2 linked regions of the Pelodiscus sinensis genome follow. The protein of the gene in region 1 purifies or fractionates together with the protein of each later gene. This does not show direct contact. Links are inferred from orthologs where the notes say so. Each region holds a gene or a part of one and is shown in the gene's direction. Other genes may lie near its edges.

Region 1 (7,004 bases):
GAGATGAGGATGACCAGCACAGAGATGATGGCGATGATGCGGGCGGCCTGCGAGCTCTCCGGGTACTCGAAGAGCAGCCAGACCTGCTTGAGAAACTCCTGCCTGGGCAGCGGGCGCTGCTCCTCCTGGGCAAAGCCCTCGTCCTCCCGGAACTTGCTGAGCGCCTCCTCGCCCAGCTGGTAGAACTTCAGCTCCTCCAGGAAGACGTCGAGGGGCACGTTGGCGGGGCGCCGGAGCCGCCCGCCCGACTGGTAGTAGTAGAGGATGGAGTCGAAGCAGGGCCGGTTGCGGTCGAAGAAGAACTCGCCCCGCAGCGGGTCGAAGTAGCGGACCCGGCGCCGCGGGTCGCCCAGCAGGGTGTTGGGGAACCGGAGCAAGGTCCTGGCCTGGGTCTCGAACCGCAGCCCCGCCACGTTGATCACCACCCGCTCGCAGCAGTCCCGCCGCAGGCACGGGGGGAAGGGGGCGGCCGCCCCAGCTGCCAACGCCAGCTTCTCCATGGCCCGGGAGGTCAGGGCCTGGCAGCAGACGCCATGGGCCGCGACAGGGGTGCTCCCCACCGTGGGTGCCCCGCCTCGCTCACCGCCCTCTGCTGATTCGTTCCCTCCTTTGCACTGCGCTCCCACCTCCTCCGGCCCCGATCCGCTCTCCCTGTGGCCTCTACTCCGCCGGGCCGAGTCCCTCCTCCCCTTCCTGACCACAGCCCGTACCCCCTCCTCTGGCCCTGGGTGCCTCCTTCCCTTCCCAAATGTAGCCCCTGCCTTCTTCTTTGCTCTCTCTTTCCACGCTCAGCCTGCTCTCCCTTCTCTTCCAGCCACGATTGCCTCCTCCCCTTCCCAAATGCAGCCTGTACCCACTCCGATTTGCTGCCCCCTTCTTGAATGCAGCCCGTGTCCCTTCCTTCGGCCTCGATTTGCTCCCCCCTTTCCTTCCCACGCCCCGCGCGTACCCTCTCCTTCTCCGGCCCCGAGTCGCTGCCCCATTCACGCCACACCTCTGCCCCCCATACACACCCTTTCCCTCTCACCACTTTTCCGCTCCTCTCTTCTGCTCTGAGATTTCCCCTGCGCCCCTCTTCTGTGGACCCCTCTGAGCCCCTTTTGCTCCTGTCCCCCCTCCAGCTGATCCGTCCGTCCGCCCCTGATACCAAGGGCCAGGATCACTGGCTGTAAACACGTTCCCAGCCTGGGAGGTGTCGTGTTCTCAGGACAGCTCTGACTTCCAGCACCCTTGTGCCAAGCCCCAGCACCCGCCTCCACACCGCTGCCCCTTCGGCTCCGAGGGCACTAAAAATAACAGGGGAGCAGACAGCTTCTAGGGATGGTGTCAGGGGAGGGCCTGGGAGCTAGGACGCTTGGGTCTCTCCCCAGCTTTGGAAGAGGGTGGGGTGCAATGGTTAGAGCGGGGGAGTTCTGGCAGCCAGGTTCTGTTCCCACCATCTATAAAATGCAGAGATTAATTAACAAGCATAAAACTGATCTGTGAATGCCAAAGGGATAAATGCCTCCCTTCGGGGCGTGTGTGTGTCTCTCTCTATTCTAACAGACTCTCATTAACCAAGATGGGGTTAATTAATCTAGCCTAACAAGCAGAGAGGGTAATCACACCCAGGTGCTGTGAAGTAACAAAGCATCAGGGATCAAGAGATAATTGTTGTAATAATAAAATAATCTGTTAATGGATATGACACAAGTCGCCTACCAATGGCTGGCATTAACCTGCCCAGACTAGCGGGGGAGTGAGAAACGGGGTTAATTCATCAGTTGGGTGGCTTTTGCACTTTACCTGCACAATAGGCACTGTGCCAGCTTCCCTGGGTGTAAGCAATACACCATGCTCTAACCGCTAGACTCCACTGCCCTCCCTGTGAACTCAGGCATCCTGGCTGGCAGGTTTCTATCCAAGGCTGGCTGGTACCAGCGCCATCTGCTGCTCTGCTGTGGGCATCTCTGCTGCAGAGCCATGTGCGATTCTAGACCCGGGGCATGTGGCTCCCCCCGTAACCTTGCAGTGCCAAGCCTGGGGCGTACCGGGCTCTGGCCTGAAGGGCTGTACCCCAAACCCAGCTGGGATCAAGCTCCGTACCCCAGTTGTGATCAGATGAGGGATGTCACCAAGGTGTGTGGGGGGGAGTCACCGGGCTCTGCAGCCAGATGTGACTCAGCCAGCAGGGAGAACAGAAGGGGGTGATAGGGACACAGCATAGCACAGACTTGTCAGCACAGGGACCGGGAGCAGTCAGTACAGTCCAGTTTGGGGAGGGGCGCCCCTGAGCCAAGGGCCCTGACCCCCAACCCTGCACCCCAAGCCAGCTGAGACTGACCCACACACCCAGTAGATGGACTCTGTCCTGCAGCCAGCCCCGCCAACGGCTTTTGTCCTGCTTCCTGGGCAAAAGATGTCACCTGGTCCCCCCCCCCTTCCCAAGCTCAGGTAACACAAAGCGTCAGCCATTGTATAGGTGGGGGAGGCTGTCACACTGAAATTCCCATCCCTGTCTAGGGATTGGTGCGGTGCCCAGGGAAACTGAGGCACACGGTGGTTATTACAAGCCAATAGGAATCACATGCAACATAATGAGGGGTATAAAATCCCCACAGTCCCTACTTCATCACAGAGGGTTATGGCCTGGTAGTGAAGGTGAAGTTCAGAGGAACTTAGGGTGAAGTTCTGGCACAGTTATGGCCTCCTTATGTGGTGTAAATTGGGGGTCATGGCCCGGTTGCTATGGTGCTGGATGGGGGTCATGCCCTGGCTGCTATGGTGTAGGTCAGGGGTCCTGAGCTTGGTTGCCATGGTGAATGTTGGGGGTCATGGACCAGTTGCTGTGGTGGAGGTCGAATGTCATGTCCTGTCAGGGGTCATGGCCTGGTTTCTATTCAGGTCAGGGGTTATGGCCCAGTTCCATGGTACAGGTCAGGGATCATGGCTCAGCTTCTATGGCATAGGTTATGGGACATGTCCTGGTTGCTATGGCACAGATTGGGGGTCGTGGCCCGGTTGCTATGGTGGAGGTCAGGGGTCATGGCCCGGTTGCTATGGTGGAGGTCAGGGGTCGTGGCCCCGTTGTTATGGCGCAGGTGTTAATGCATCTGGGAACAACGCACACGTTTAGCTACAATTACGTAGCCAATCGTTAGATCGGCAGCTACAGCCATGAGCCGTGGATTTAACCGGGATTAGTACACCCGACAGATTGCAACTCAACTTTTCCATTGACCTCCACGCCAGGTACTTTGTACAAAATTTGGTACAACAATGGTACAAATGGCTGTTGTCAAACATACAGTACCATAACAGGTCGGGGTCATGGCCTGGTTGCTATGGCATAGGTCAGGGGTCAGAATCTGGTTACCAAGGTGCAGGTCAGGGGTCATGGCCTAGTTGCTATGGCATAGGTCAGGGGTCAGAGTCTGGTTGCCAAGGTGCAGGTCAGGGGTCATGGCCTGGTTGCTATGGCATAGGTCAGGGGTCAGAGTCTGGTTACCAAGGTGCAGGTCAGGGGTCATGGCCTGGTTGCTATGGCATAGGTCAGGGGTCAGAGTCCGGTTACCAAGGTGCAGGTCAGGGTCATGGCCTGGTTGCTATGGCATAGGTCAGGGGTCAGAGTCTGGTTACCAAGGTGCAGGTCAGGGGTCATGGCCTGGTTGCTATGGCATAGGTCAGGGGTCAGAGTCTGGTTGCCAAGGTGCAGGTCAGGGGTCATGATCCAGTTGCCACGGTGTACGTCACATGTCAGCATCTGGTTGCTAAGGTGCAGGTCAAAGGTCATGGCCCGGTTGCTATGGCATGGGTTGGAGTCAGGGTGCGGTTGCCATGGTATACGTCATGGGTCAGGGCCTGGTTGCTATGGCGCAGGTCGGGGGTCAACACCACGGCGCCAAGAGCGCCGCCGGCGACGAGTATTATGGTCTGCCTGGCCCGGGTTCGGGCGCTACTTTCCCTGCGGCTGCGGAGGGATCAAGTTCCATCTCCGCCCCTTCCGTCAGCGCGCGGCCTCGCGCCTCCTTGCCCCGCCCCGAGCGAGTCCCGGCCGCGCAGGGATTCGGACGCGGTGACAGGGACACGCATGCGCAGAGCGGGCAGGGAGCAGGCCCCGAGCAGGCGGCAGCGGGAAGAGCTGAGCGCGGCGCGGCCGGTGAGGGGGGGGTCGGTGAGGGCGGGGGGACCACGGGGTGGGAGGCGGGGCCGGGGGGGAACTGGGGGGAGCAGGAGGCGGGGGGACCAGTTGGGCGGGGGGAAGTGGGGGAGCAGGGGGCGGGGGGAAGTGGGGGAGCAGTGGGAGGGGGGAGGGGCAGTGGGGGAGCAGGGGGCGGGGGGAAGTGGGAGGGGGCGGGGGGAAGTGGGGGAGCAGTGGGAGGGGGGAGGGGCAGCGGGGGGCGGGGGGCAGTGGGAGGGGGAGGGGCAGTGGGGGAGCAGGGGGAGGGGGGGAGCAGGGGGCGGGGGGCAGTGGGAGGGGGAGGGGCAGTGGGAGGGGGAGGGGCAGTGGGGGAGCAGGGGGAGGGGGGAGCAGGGGGTGCGGGGCAGTGGGAGGGGGGAGGGGCAGTGGGAGGGGGGCAGTGGGGGAGCAGGGGGCGGGGGGCAGTGGGAGGGGGGGGAGCAGGGGGCAGTGGGAGGGGGCAGAGGACGGACAGGGCTGCCGAGGCGTTGGCTCTCCTGAAGGAGATGGGAGGGGGGTGCAGCTGGGAAGCAAAACCCCAGGAAATGAGGAGTTTAGCTGGCCCCTAAGCCCGCTGGGTTATGGCAGGGGCGGGGGGGGGGGGAGGACACACGTGGCTGGAGGGAGTGTGTTTGTTGTGGGATCTAATGATCTGGCCTCTCTTTCCTCCAGCAGATCTCCCAAGATGACGCAGTTCCTGCCCCCCAACCTACTGGCGCTTTTTGCCCCCCGGGACCCCATCCCCTACCTGCCCCCACTGGAGAAGCTGCCTCATGAGAAACACCACAACCAGCCCTACTGTGGCATCGCACCGTACATCCGGGAGTTTGAGGTGAGCTCACCCCCCAGTAGGGCAGCGCTGATGGGGCGGGGAGGAGCTAGCTGCCTCCAACCCCCCTTTCTCTACTGTAGAGCTTCCTGGCTCCTCCATTTCTGCCCAACTCTGCCACTCACCCACTCAATGCCCTGCTAACATAATTCTCCCCCATCCAGGACCCACGCGATGCCCCTCCGCCCACCCGTGCCGAGACCCGTGAGGAGCGCATGGAGCGGAAGGTATGGCCACCTGCTAGCATAGGGGTCAGCCCACCCTTCCCAAGGCATGGGAGAGTTATCTGGGTCGCCCCACAAATAACCTGCTTCACTCTGTGTGGTGAAGGGCAGAGCTGCCAGGTTCTCTTCTGGCCACCCTTGGGTATCCCTTCTCCTATATAGTCTGGTGATTGAACCTTGGGGCTGGGAGCCAGGACTTCTGGGTCCTCTCCCTGGCCATTCTGTTGTTAACTCCGTGTGAGGACTTTGGGAGGAGTGCCTGGTGTCCCAGCCTGTGAATTGGGAGAAAAACACTGCGGCGAGTAGCGAGGAGGAAGCAGTGAATTCGGCAGCACTTTGAGAGTCTCAAGGGTGCTCATGGCTAAGGCTTCAGAGCCCCCCTTGAGTCCCATCCTGAGGTCCCTCTCTGGAGCATCATTGTGTGGAGTCCAGTCCTGTCATTCCTTCCTTCTGAGGTCCCTCTCTGGAGCATCATTGTGTGGAGTCCAGGCCTGTCACTCCTTCCTTTTCCTTCCTGCAGAGACGAGAGAAGATTGAACGGAGGCAGCAGGAGGTGGAGAACGAGTTGAAGATGTGTGAGTGGAGGGTCCCGTCCGGGGGGGGGGGGTTGCTCTGACTCCCACCTCAGGGGCAAGTCAGCAGCTGGGAGGGTGAACGTGGGCTCAGGGTGGCAGCAGTTTGTTTCCCTGCTATCCGTTCCATGTGCCTATTCCTGATCTCTCCCTCCCCAGGGGACCCGCACAATGACCCCAACGCCCAGGGAGATGCCTTCAAAACCCTCTTCGTAGCCAGAGTGGTAAGTTCCTTCTAACTGCCCACCGCCCCATCCACGGGCACCTGCTTCTCCCCAACCCTGGTAGCAGCCATCTCAGCCTGTGCTCTGCCCCACAGAACTACGACACAACAGAATCCAAGCTGAGAAGAGAATTCGAGGTCTATGGCCCCATCAAGCGGGTAAGAAGCTGCTGCCCACAGGCCTTGCCTACAATGAGCCTCAAGTAGCCCGTCGGTCACAGGCCGAGTCGTGCCCAGGGAGACGTGCCAGGCCCTGGTGGGAAAACCCTGGCAGACAGAGTCCACTTACAAAGCCCCCTTGTTCCCAGTGCAGCAGATTGGCCCTGGGGAAGTGACAGGGTCTTCAGGACAGATGAATGCTAGGGTGGGGTGGGTGGTCCCCTTGACTTGGGAGTCTGCAGATCCCTTGGGTCGTAGCCTCTGTGGACTCCTGGACTCTGGCAGCTCAGTGCTGAGACAGTGGCTGTAACGCACTCTCGTGCGTGGGGTTTGGCCAGGTACCTGCAGGGCTACGGTGGGGATCAGCTGCACCTGGAGATGGGACGCCGGACAGGTCCCTGCTCAGGGGTGAACCCCAAAGCCCTTGCTGTGGGGCTTGTTTGCTTGCTTGGGGATGGGAAGTCCCCTCCATCCTTCCCCGGTCTGGTTGGCAGGGCCCTTGGGGGTGTTCCTGGCTCCCCCATTCTAGACCACTCCTCCCCAAAGGCTGTAATGAAGTTGGTGTGCCCTGCACCCCAGTTGGTGCTTGAGCTCCTCCCGCTGGCGTGCCAGGTGTTAACTAAGATGACAGAAGGTGCTATGGGGCAGTGGCTTGTGTCAAACTGAAGCTGAGGCTAAGCAGTGTGTGTTGGCACAGGGGAGCCGTTTCTGGGTCAGTAACTTGCTTCCTGCCCTCCCCAGATCTACATGGTGTACAGCAAGCGTTCTGGGAAGCCACGCGGCTACGCCTTCATAGAGTACGAACACGAGCGAGACATGCACTGTAAGTACCGCCCCT
Region 2 (7,893 bases), on another chromosome or scaffold:
GACTGAATTTGTGTGTGTGGAAAGCGGCTTGGCATGGAGGACTCCTCAAGCCATACTTGGAGTCTCTACTGACCTGCTTTCCACACCAACTAGTTAGTGATCTTTCTAACTTTCTTCTTCGTGGAGAGAAAAAGTGAATTTTGTCCTTCAGCTGGTGGGAATTCACAGTTGAGATGTGGTTTTACAGTCTTAGTCACAGTGATCTTTGGAATATTGCATTAATTGGGGAGATTGCACTCATAACAAGATAACTTGCAGGTGAAAACACTGATATTTTGGCTATCTTTGGAAGATTATAGGATATAAACTGGCCTTCTAAGTTGACAGCCTAGCAGGGTAGTTTCATTCAACATGTGATCTCATAATCTTAACAAAGATCTCTGGTTCAGTTTGTGTCAACATGTCCAGCTGTGGTAGTATTAGTAATGTAGACTCACATCATGTTCTTTCAGGTAAGATAGCATTCCTAGTAATACAAAGTTTTATTTCTAGACTTAACAGCTGAGTTTCATTTGTCCATCATACAGGCAGTCACTGTTAGCACAAATCCTTTAATTAGGGTAGAGAATCATACCTTATTGCTTCTATCAAAATTCAGGTCTTCTGTCTCATCTACAATTGATGCAATATTCTACTAACCTATTTGTAAGGTGAGAGGATGAATTATTGGTGGACACTTCTGAGGCTGCAAATGTGTTTTGCACTAAACTACTGCAATCTCCAGATGACTTTTTATTACAGTTAGATAGCAATTTAAGTGTGATTCAGGTCAGATTGTTGCTTTTTATGATGTAAATGAAATCAAATAATGTAAAACTTCTCTACTGTGTTTATTGACCCTCATGCTAATGGTCCAAAGTATTCCATATTTAAAGAACAGTCACAATGTAGAAGATACACTTCATATTATTTTCTTAGTCACCTGATTATCTACTTTTTGGTTATGTGGGGATTACCTGTGGAAGAAAGAATATAAATCTTTGGGATGACAGTCTTCTGCTAAATTCCATGTTTGCACTTAGGGGAAGTGGCAGCAGCTTGCTTTTTACGCATGATAAAACTAAAAAAATTAAGCTCTGAATATTTTTGCTGATTATCAATAAATGTGTGTCTTAAATTTAGTGCTTCCAAATCTACATAAAATCTGAATCAAGGACCAATTTTAAAATATTTTGTCACTTTTATGATTTGTTAAACTAGACATGAAATTTGCTTATGGCACTGTGCATTGTTTAATATTTCCTGTAAGTACAGTTGTATATTCAGATTGCAATTATGAAGATTAAATATTAGGAAAAAAAGTAGAATACTAGGGTTAGCACGGTTGTCATTAATGGCCTAGCACACAAAACACTGCATCATCAGTGTTTCATTGTGTTATGATTGAAAATATGTACAGTTTTTTGCAATAACAATTCATTTTAATCTTGAATGTTTCTGAAGGCCTCTTTGGTTTTGTTAAACATTACCTGTTCATAAGTGCTAGTAATAAAAATGCAAAGTACATGTTGCTTTTAGATGCTACAGTGGAAATATCAGTTGACAGTTTAACTGAGAAATTCTTTCTAACTTAATCTCAGACATCAACTCTGTAATGGGTAAGAAAGTATAAGAACTCTATAGTTAAATATTTAAATAATGGTTTGTATGCCTCATTGGCAGGTGATGTTTTGAAATGTAGTCCAGCTGTCTTACTATGTGTATCTAAATCTTTCCTTGCATCTCCTGTTAAGAGTTTGCTGCAACAAAGACAAAACCTGGACAGCTAATATAACCACATAGCAAGAACTAGATTAATGTAGGTTTTGAGACTTGGAAGGGCATCTGTATTCCAATGCTTTGCAAGGAGATTGTGTACTGTATCTAAGTTTGCATATGATGTACTCATAAATTACAATAAAACTTTAATCTTTTCTAGATCCTGACAGTTGTTCCTGTATTTTAGTTGATGGGTTTAAAAATGCAAACTTTAAAAATTATTTCTTGGAAATGGCTGATCATCAGGTACATTCTGAGCAGTTAATCTGTAAATACAAAATTAAAGCCTTCTATTTTTATACTTAAAACTTTTAATGGATTAGTTTAAAAATAAGATTTTAATTAGCAAATATGTTCCATTTTCCTCTGCCAACTATGAACTTTACCTTTCTGAAAAACAAAGCATTTGGGGAGACACAGGAGAAGTTTAAAAATAACACGTGAAGTTAAAACAAAAAACAGGACTATGTAGCACTTTAAAGACTAACAAGATGGTTTATTAGGTGATGAGCTTTCGTGGGTCAGACCCACTTCCTCAGATCAAATAGTAGAAGAAAATTGTCACAACCATATATACCAAAGATGGTGACAATTTTCTTCCACTATTTGATCTGAGAAAGTGGGTCTGGCCCATGAAAGCTAATCACCTAATAAACCATCTTGTTAGTCTTTAAAGTGCTACATAGTCCTGTTTTTTGTTTCAGCTACACCAGACTAACATGGCTACATTTCTATCACCTGAAGTTAGACTCCCTACTTGACTCAATTCTTTGTCCACCCCTTTACAAGGCCAACTTAGACCACCAGCACTGTTTTTTATTGGCTCAGTGTTAGATACATGAGGGCTGCATCTACACTGGCAAGTTTTTCCGCCAAAGCAATTGCTTTGGTGGAAAAACTTGCCAGCTGTCTACACTGGCCGTTTTGAATTTGCGCAAGAACACTGACGATCTAATGTAAGATTGTCAGTGTCCTTCCGCAAATACAATGACTCTCCCATTTGGGAAAAAAACCTCTTGCGCAAATGCAAGATGGCTCTGCACATTGCTGTATTGTCTTTCTCCCTCGGGGGAGAGAGAGGATCAGCAATGCACCAAAGCATTTCTCCAGAAGCTTTCCCCCACTGCTGTGATAGCAGCAGGTGGTGCCTAGGAGTGGGCGGGGCATAGTCATGTGTGCCCTTGGGAATGGGGTGCCAGGTAACTGCCTCATTACCATAACCCTCCCAGCTTCTTCCGTGGTCTGCAAAAATTCCTTAATCCATCATACTCTCTTTCCCAAGGTTGCCAGATTAGAGGTACAAGTGTATTACAATGGGTCCTTCTATATTTGGTTTAATTCTTTCTTTATATCCTCAGCATTAGAGGAATTGGTAGACTCCCAGGGAATCAATGTTTTATCAGAAACCTGCTTAAAAAAAGATTCCTGGAGAAGCACTCTTATGAATATACTCTATCAGGGTATTTCTAAACTCTGAATCAAAACATTTGGTAGACCTAGGACTCTACCCTTAAATTTAAGAGACCAAGTGTGCATTTATATCAAGACACAAACTAACAGCCTGGCTACGTCTACACTGGCCCCTTTTCCGAAAGGGGCATGCTAATTTTAAACTTCAGAATAGGGAAATCCGCGGGGGATTTAAATAAAGATGTCCGCCGCTTTTTTCCGGCTTGTAGATAAGCCGGAAAAAAGCGTCTAGACTGGCCCGATCCTCCGGAATAAAGCCCTATTCCGGAGGATCTCTTATTCCGACTTTGAAGTAGGAATAAGAGATCCTCCGGAATAGGGCTTTATTTCGGAGGATCGGGCCAGTCTAGACGCTTTTTTCCGGCTTATCTACAAGCCGGAAAAAAGCGGTGGACATCTTTATTTAAATCCCACAGGGGATATTTAAATCCCCTGTGGATTTCCCTATTCTGAAGTTTAAAATTAGCATACCCCTTTTGGAAAAGGGGCCAGTGTAGACGTAGCCCCTGGGTTTATTGGTTAATTCAAAGGAACACACACCTTCCTTCCTGCCTCTATTGGGGGAGAGGTAGGCAGGAGCCAGTACCCTTGAGTGGGCTTTTAACATGGCTCCTTGTGCATGCTGGTTCCCATGCAGCTCCCTTCTCCTCCTCCTTCCCCCCCCCCAGTAGTGTGGGGAGCAGGCAAAAGCTGATGCTAGGAGCTGGCTTAAATGGGCAGCACTTGGGAGGGGAGGGGAAGAGAATGCTGGAACATCCTATTGGCAGAAAGCTTGGGATTTTTAAACCTAGTTCTACTGTGGACCAGCTCTGCCTGCCACTCCACACTGTTTCCTGTGATATGGAGGCAGAAGCATGGGATGGCAGGGGGCTTCCCCAGGAGTGAAGCGGGGAGCTGGTAGTGCAATGGCTGTCAGTCTCTGCCCCAGGAGAAACATTTTTAATAACCAGGTAACCATTAAAAATTGTTGTGACTATATGATTACTAAAATATCTAACATCCCTATTAAAAATATCATAATCCATAGGTAGTACTACTACACATTAATGTGAATGTGGTCCTGAAATGTATTCAGCCCTCCAGTGCAGGATAGCAGCTTATCTGATGTCATAAAGGGTAATTTTGGTTCAAAGTATTTCCTTAAAAAATGCCATTGAGTCTCTACTGCCAATCCAAAGCAGCACTGATATTGGTGGAGAGGGGGTACTAATCATTCAATAAAGGCATACAACTAAAGCAGAAATGTCTGTTGTTCACAATCCCTTGCATTTGTTGAACACTGCGTGTCGCGTACTCCTCTGTACCATAACGGAAACTTAATCAATGTCCTTTGCTAGTTGATTGATGCGTAGGAGGGGTCCACATTTTGGCTGCGAGAGTCTCCTCTTTAAGCCCAGCCTTGTCCTAAACGTCTTGACTTTTGAGGCAAAACTGGGCTTTTGCGCAGTTTGCTTTCGCGTGGGGGAAGGGAAGCAAGCAGGACCCCTGCCGTCCCTGAGCCAGCGCGCCGGTGCGAGACAGAGCCGCTCGCGGGGGGAGTGCGCTACAGCCGAGGGGCCGCGCTGAAGCCGCTGCCCTTTGGCCAGGCCCTCGCTGCCGGCGGAGCAGGGCTGGCCCGGCCCCCACAAGGCGGGAGGCGAGGGCCCCCGCCCCTCGCCTTAACGCACATCCGGCCGCGAGGAGCGGCGCTTCCGGCTATTGAGTCGCGCGACGCTCAGTCGCGCCAGCGCTGTTTCATTCACCGAGCGCCGGAGCGGCCTGGTCCGAGGCCTCCGCCCCGAGCTCAATTTTTTTTTTCTTTCTCCCCGTGCCCGGGTTGCCGCTCTGTGGTCCCGGCCGGCCTGACGCCCCCGCTCCGCCGCCATGAAGCTCGTGAGGTGAGATGGGCCCGGATGGAGGCGGATTCGGGGGCGGGCAGCGGCGGGAAAGGAGCGCGAGCGCTGGGCCGCAACCTGGGCCTTCCGCCGTCTCGTGCCGCGCCGGCTGCTCGCGCGCACCTCACTCTTCTCCCCCCCCCCCCGCCTCGCGCCGGGCGTCCCGTTCCACAGCGGGTGGAAGCAGGGCGCAGCTGTGCACCCCCCGTGCAGGTTCCGGGAGCCCCTCCCCCTAGAGCGCGCAGTTGTCTCGAGGTGGCCGTTGCCACCCGCCCCCTCCCCACGGGCCGCTCCTGTCCCCAACGGCCCCGTAAGGAACGTGACTGTTAACATCACGCACGTGACTTCTTCCACCCCCCCCACTACGGCCTGTGGCCCCTGGGCGGCGAGTCTCTGCCAGAGACTCCTGCCCGGCCGGTGCCTTCGCCCTTTGCTCGCTGGTTGCGACTCCTAAGTCTTTCCTCGCCCCGCGCGCACACGTGGATGAGCCTGGTTATGGATAAAAGAAAGTGTCATTGCCCCATGGGGGGGAGGGTCATTTCCCGCCTGTTTAAATGCGACTCTCATTGTTACACAAGTGTCTACTAGCCAGAAGAGTTACTCCCTGATAACTGCGAGACGGGGGAGTAAGGGGAAGTGTGGCTCCCCTCTTGGGGAGTGTTGCTAAAACTCAGCAAGACTGGGACTCCCTTGTCCCTAGCTGGGCCACAAAGAACGCTTATTCCCAACACCATATGTCCCTGCTAAACAATAACTTGAACAATTCTTAAAAGTTACATTTTTCAGTGTCGGTATTGTTCATGTCGTGCACTTCATTCAGTTTGTGCAAATGAAAATAGATTAGTTTGTTGTATTGTCACTTTCACTTTAGGATTGGTAAACAGTGCAATGATTTTTGGGCTACAATGACTGTTTAATACAAAAGGGTTATTTAGGGTTATTGAACATACTTTTACCATTGACAGTTTTGTAAAACCGTTTTTTTTTTTTAACAAAACAGCTCCTGGGATAAGTAAGCCTATTTCTGTTTAAATATTGTTGTTCCAACTATAAAAGCAGTAGGACTAGAACAGATTGCTTAGGGAGATTTGTTGAAGCTCCTTCACAGGAGGCTTTTGAAAAGGCTGGATAGCCATCTGCTGTTTTTGTTGGTTTAGATGTAACAAATCCTGCCTCTTGGCAAGGGGTTAGAAGAGATGACCCTCAGTGTCCCTTATAGCCCTGTGATTTAGGGCCATACCAAATTCACAGTCCATTTTGGATACTTTCAGCATCATAGGATTTTAAAAATCTTAAATTTCATTATTTCAGCTATTGAAATCTGAAGTTTCATTATATTCTAAATGTAGGGATTCAACTCAAAAAGGAGTTATGGGGGACTCAAGGTACTACAATCCTTACTTTTATGCCGTTGCTAATGGCAGCACTATCTTCAATGCTGGGCATCTGAAGGATAGCAGCTGCTGGCTGGGAGCTGAGTTCTGAAGACAGAATCACTGCCAGCAGCAGCTCAGAGGTAAGAATGATTGGGTGTGCTGCCGCCTGTTGAGCTGGACGCTCCGTCATCAGTTACCATGCTCCAGCTGCCCAGCTCTGAAGGCAATGATGCAGAATTAAGGATGGAAGGTATGGTATTGCTACCCTTACTTCTGTGCTTCTGCTGCCTGGGTGCTGCCTTCAGAGCTGAGTGCCTGGCAAGGAGCTGCTGCTTTTCAGCTGCCCAACTCTGAAGGCAGCACAGAACTAAGGATGGTAATACCACAACCACCTCTCCCCCTCCCCCCAAAATAACTCCCCTGCACCTCCGTTTTGGGTCAAGGCCCTCAGTTTAAAAAATGCTGATCTCCCCAATTAAATCTGTATAGTAGAGGGTAAAAGTGCACAAAAGCCTAGATTTCACTATCTGATATTCCTTTTTTATGGTTGTGAATACTTTACTTGGTTATTTGCCCCATAGCAATGACTGTAGTTCCTGTATTTATTTTGTTAAAAAGCAAAGCTTGTCTTAAATGACTGTCAGGTAACTAGTAAATGTTTTTTGCTGAATTAATGCATTATAATGCTTAGATGCCAAATGCGTATCAGAATTGTACTTAAACTCTTTGTGGATTCTTTGGAACAGTTTCCAGTCAGGATGCTTAGGAATGGTGTGTACAGTCATCACTGGCTTTTTTTGGTTGGTTGTAGCAGTTCCTCAGAGTTCATACAGAATTACCTTTTTTGGAATATTATGAGGTTTGAGATCACTTCATATTGTTTGTAATGCATATGCCAGGGCCTAGGTGAGTTAAGGAAAGTGGTAGAACCTCATTTTCCTAAGTTCTGATGATATGAGACAAGACTTTTACAAAACATTTTCAGAAAAGCCATATAGTTGATTATTACTGTATTGTCATATGGGAATGGAAGTTCTGCTTTTCAACTTCACTTTTATTTTTCAGGTTTCTAATGAAATTGAGTCATGAAACCGTGACCATTGAACTGAAGAATGGAACACAAGTGCATGGAACAATTACAGGTATGGAATTCAAGATGATGGAGACTAAAAACCAAAATAATTAAGGAATTGATAGACAAAGGAAAATCCATTCTCTTCTAAAGAGACTCCACTGTGATAGCTAAATGAGTCGTCTTAGGAGATGGATTCTGTGAAAAATGTGGTGGCAAATAAAATCACCTCACAAGCAGTAGCATAAGAAACATCATTTTAGGGTTTTTCCTTATTCAGGGGTGTGGTTTTTTTTCCCTTTGCGGTGAATGTTTAGACTGTACGTGTATCTTTAATTTAAAG

What was found.
Region 2: the proteins of SNRNP70 (region 1) and SNRPD1 purify together in Homo sapiens (affinity purification with mass spectrometry; 6 studies listed by BioGRID and IntAct, counting the BioPlex papers as one, with this or other methods). This does not show direct contact. The link is inferred for Pelodiscus sinensis from reciprocal best matches to the Homo sapiens genes SNRNP70 and SNRPD1.

The regions. Positions count from the first base shown.
Region 1 is NW_027465870.1:61,244-68,247, forward strand, and holds the start of SNRNP70 (U1 small nuclear ribonucleoprotein 70 kDa), read left to right. Parts: upstream 1-3,984; 5' UTR 3,985-4,138; intron 4,139-4,831; 5' UTR 4,832-4,844; coding exon 4,845-4,991; intron 4,992-5,152; coding exon 5,153-5,215; intron 5,216-5,732; coding exon 5,733-5,787; intron 5,788-5,943; coding exon 5,944-6,008; intron 6,009-6,103; coding exon 6,104-6,166; intron 6,167-6,907; coding exon 6,908-6,989; intron 6,990-7,004. Other genes in the region: KCNA7 (potassium voltage-gated channel subfamily A member 7), read right to left, coding at 1-500. UniProt on the Homo sapiens protein: Component of the spliceosomal U1 snRNP, which is essential for recognition of the pre-mRNA 5' splice-site and the subsequent assembly of the spliceosome. SNRNP70 binds to the loop I region of U1-snRNA.
Region 2 is NC_134712.1:178,735,570-178,743,462, forward strand, and holds the start of SNRPD1 (small nuclear ribonucleoprotein Sm D1), read left to right. Parts: upstream 1-4,885; 5' UTR 4,886-5,091; coding exon 5,092-5,105; intron 5,106-7,543; coding exon 7,544-7,620; intron 7,621-7,893. Other genes in the region: SACM1L (phosphatidylinositol-3-phosphatase SAC1), read left to right, coding at 1-6. UniProt on the Homo sapiens protein: Plays a role in pre-mRNA splicing as a core component of the spliceosomal U1, U2, U4 and U5 small nuclear ribonucleoproteins (snRNPs), the building blocks of the spliceosome.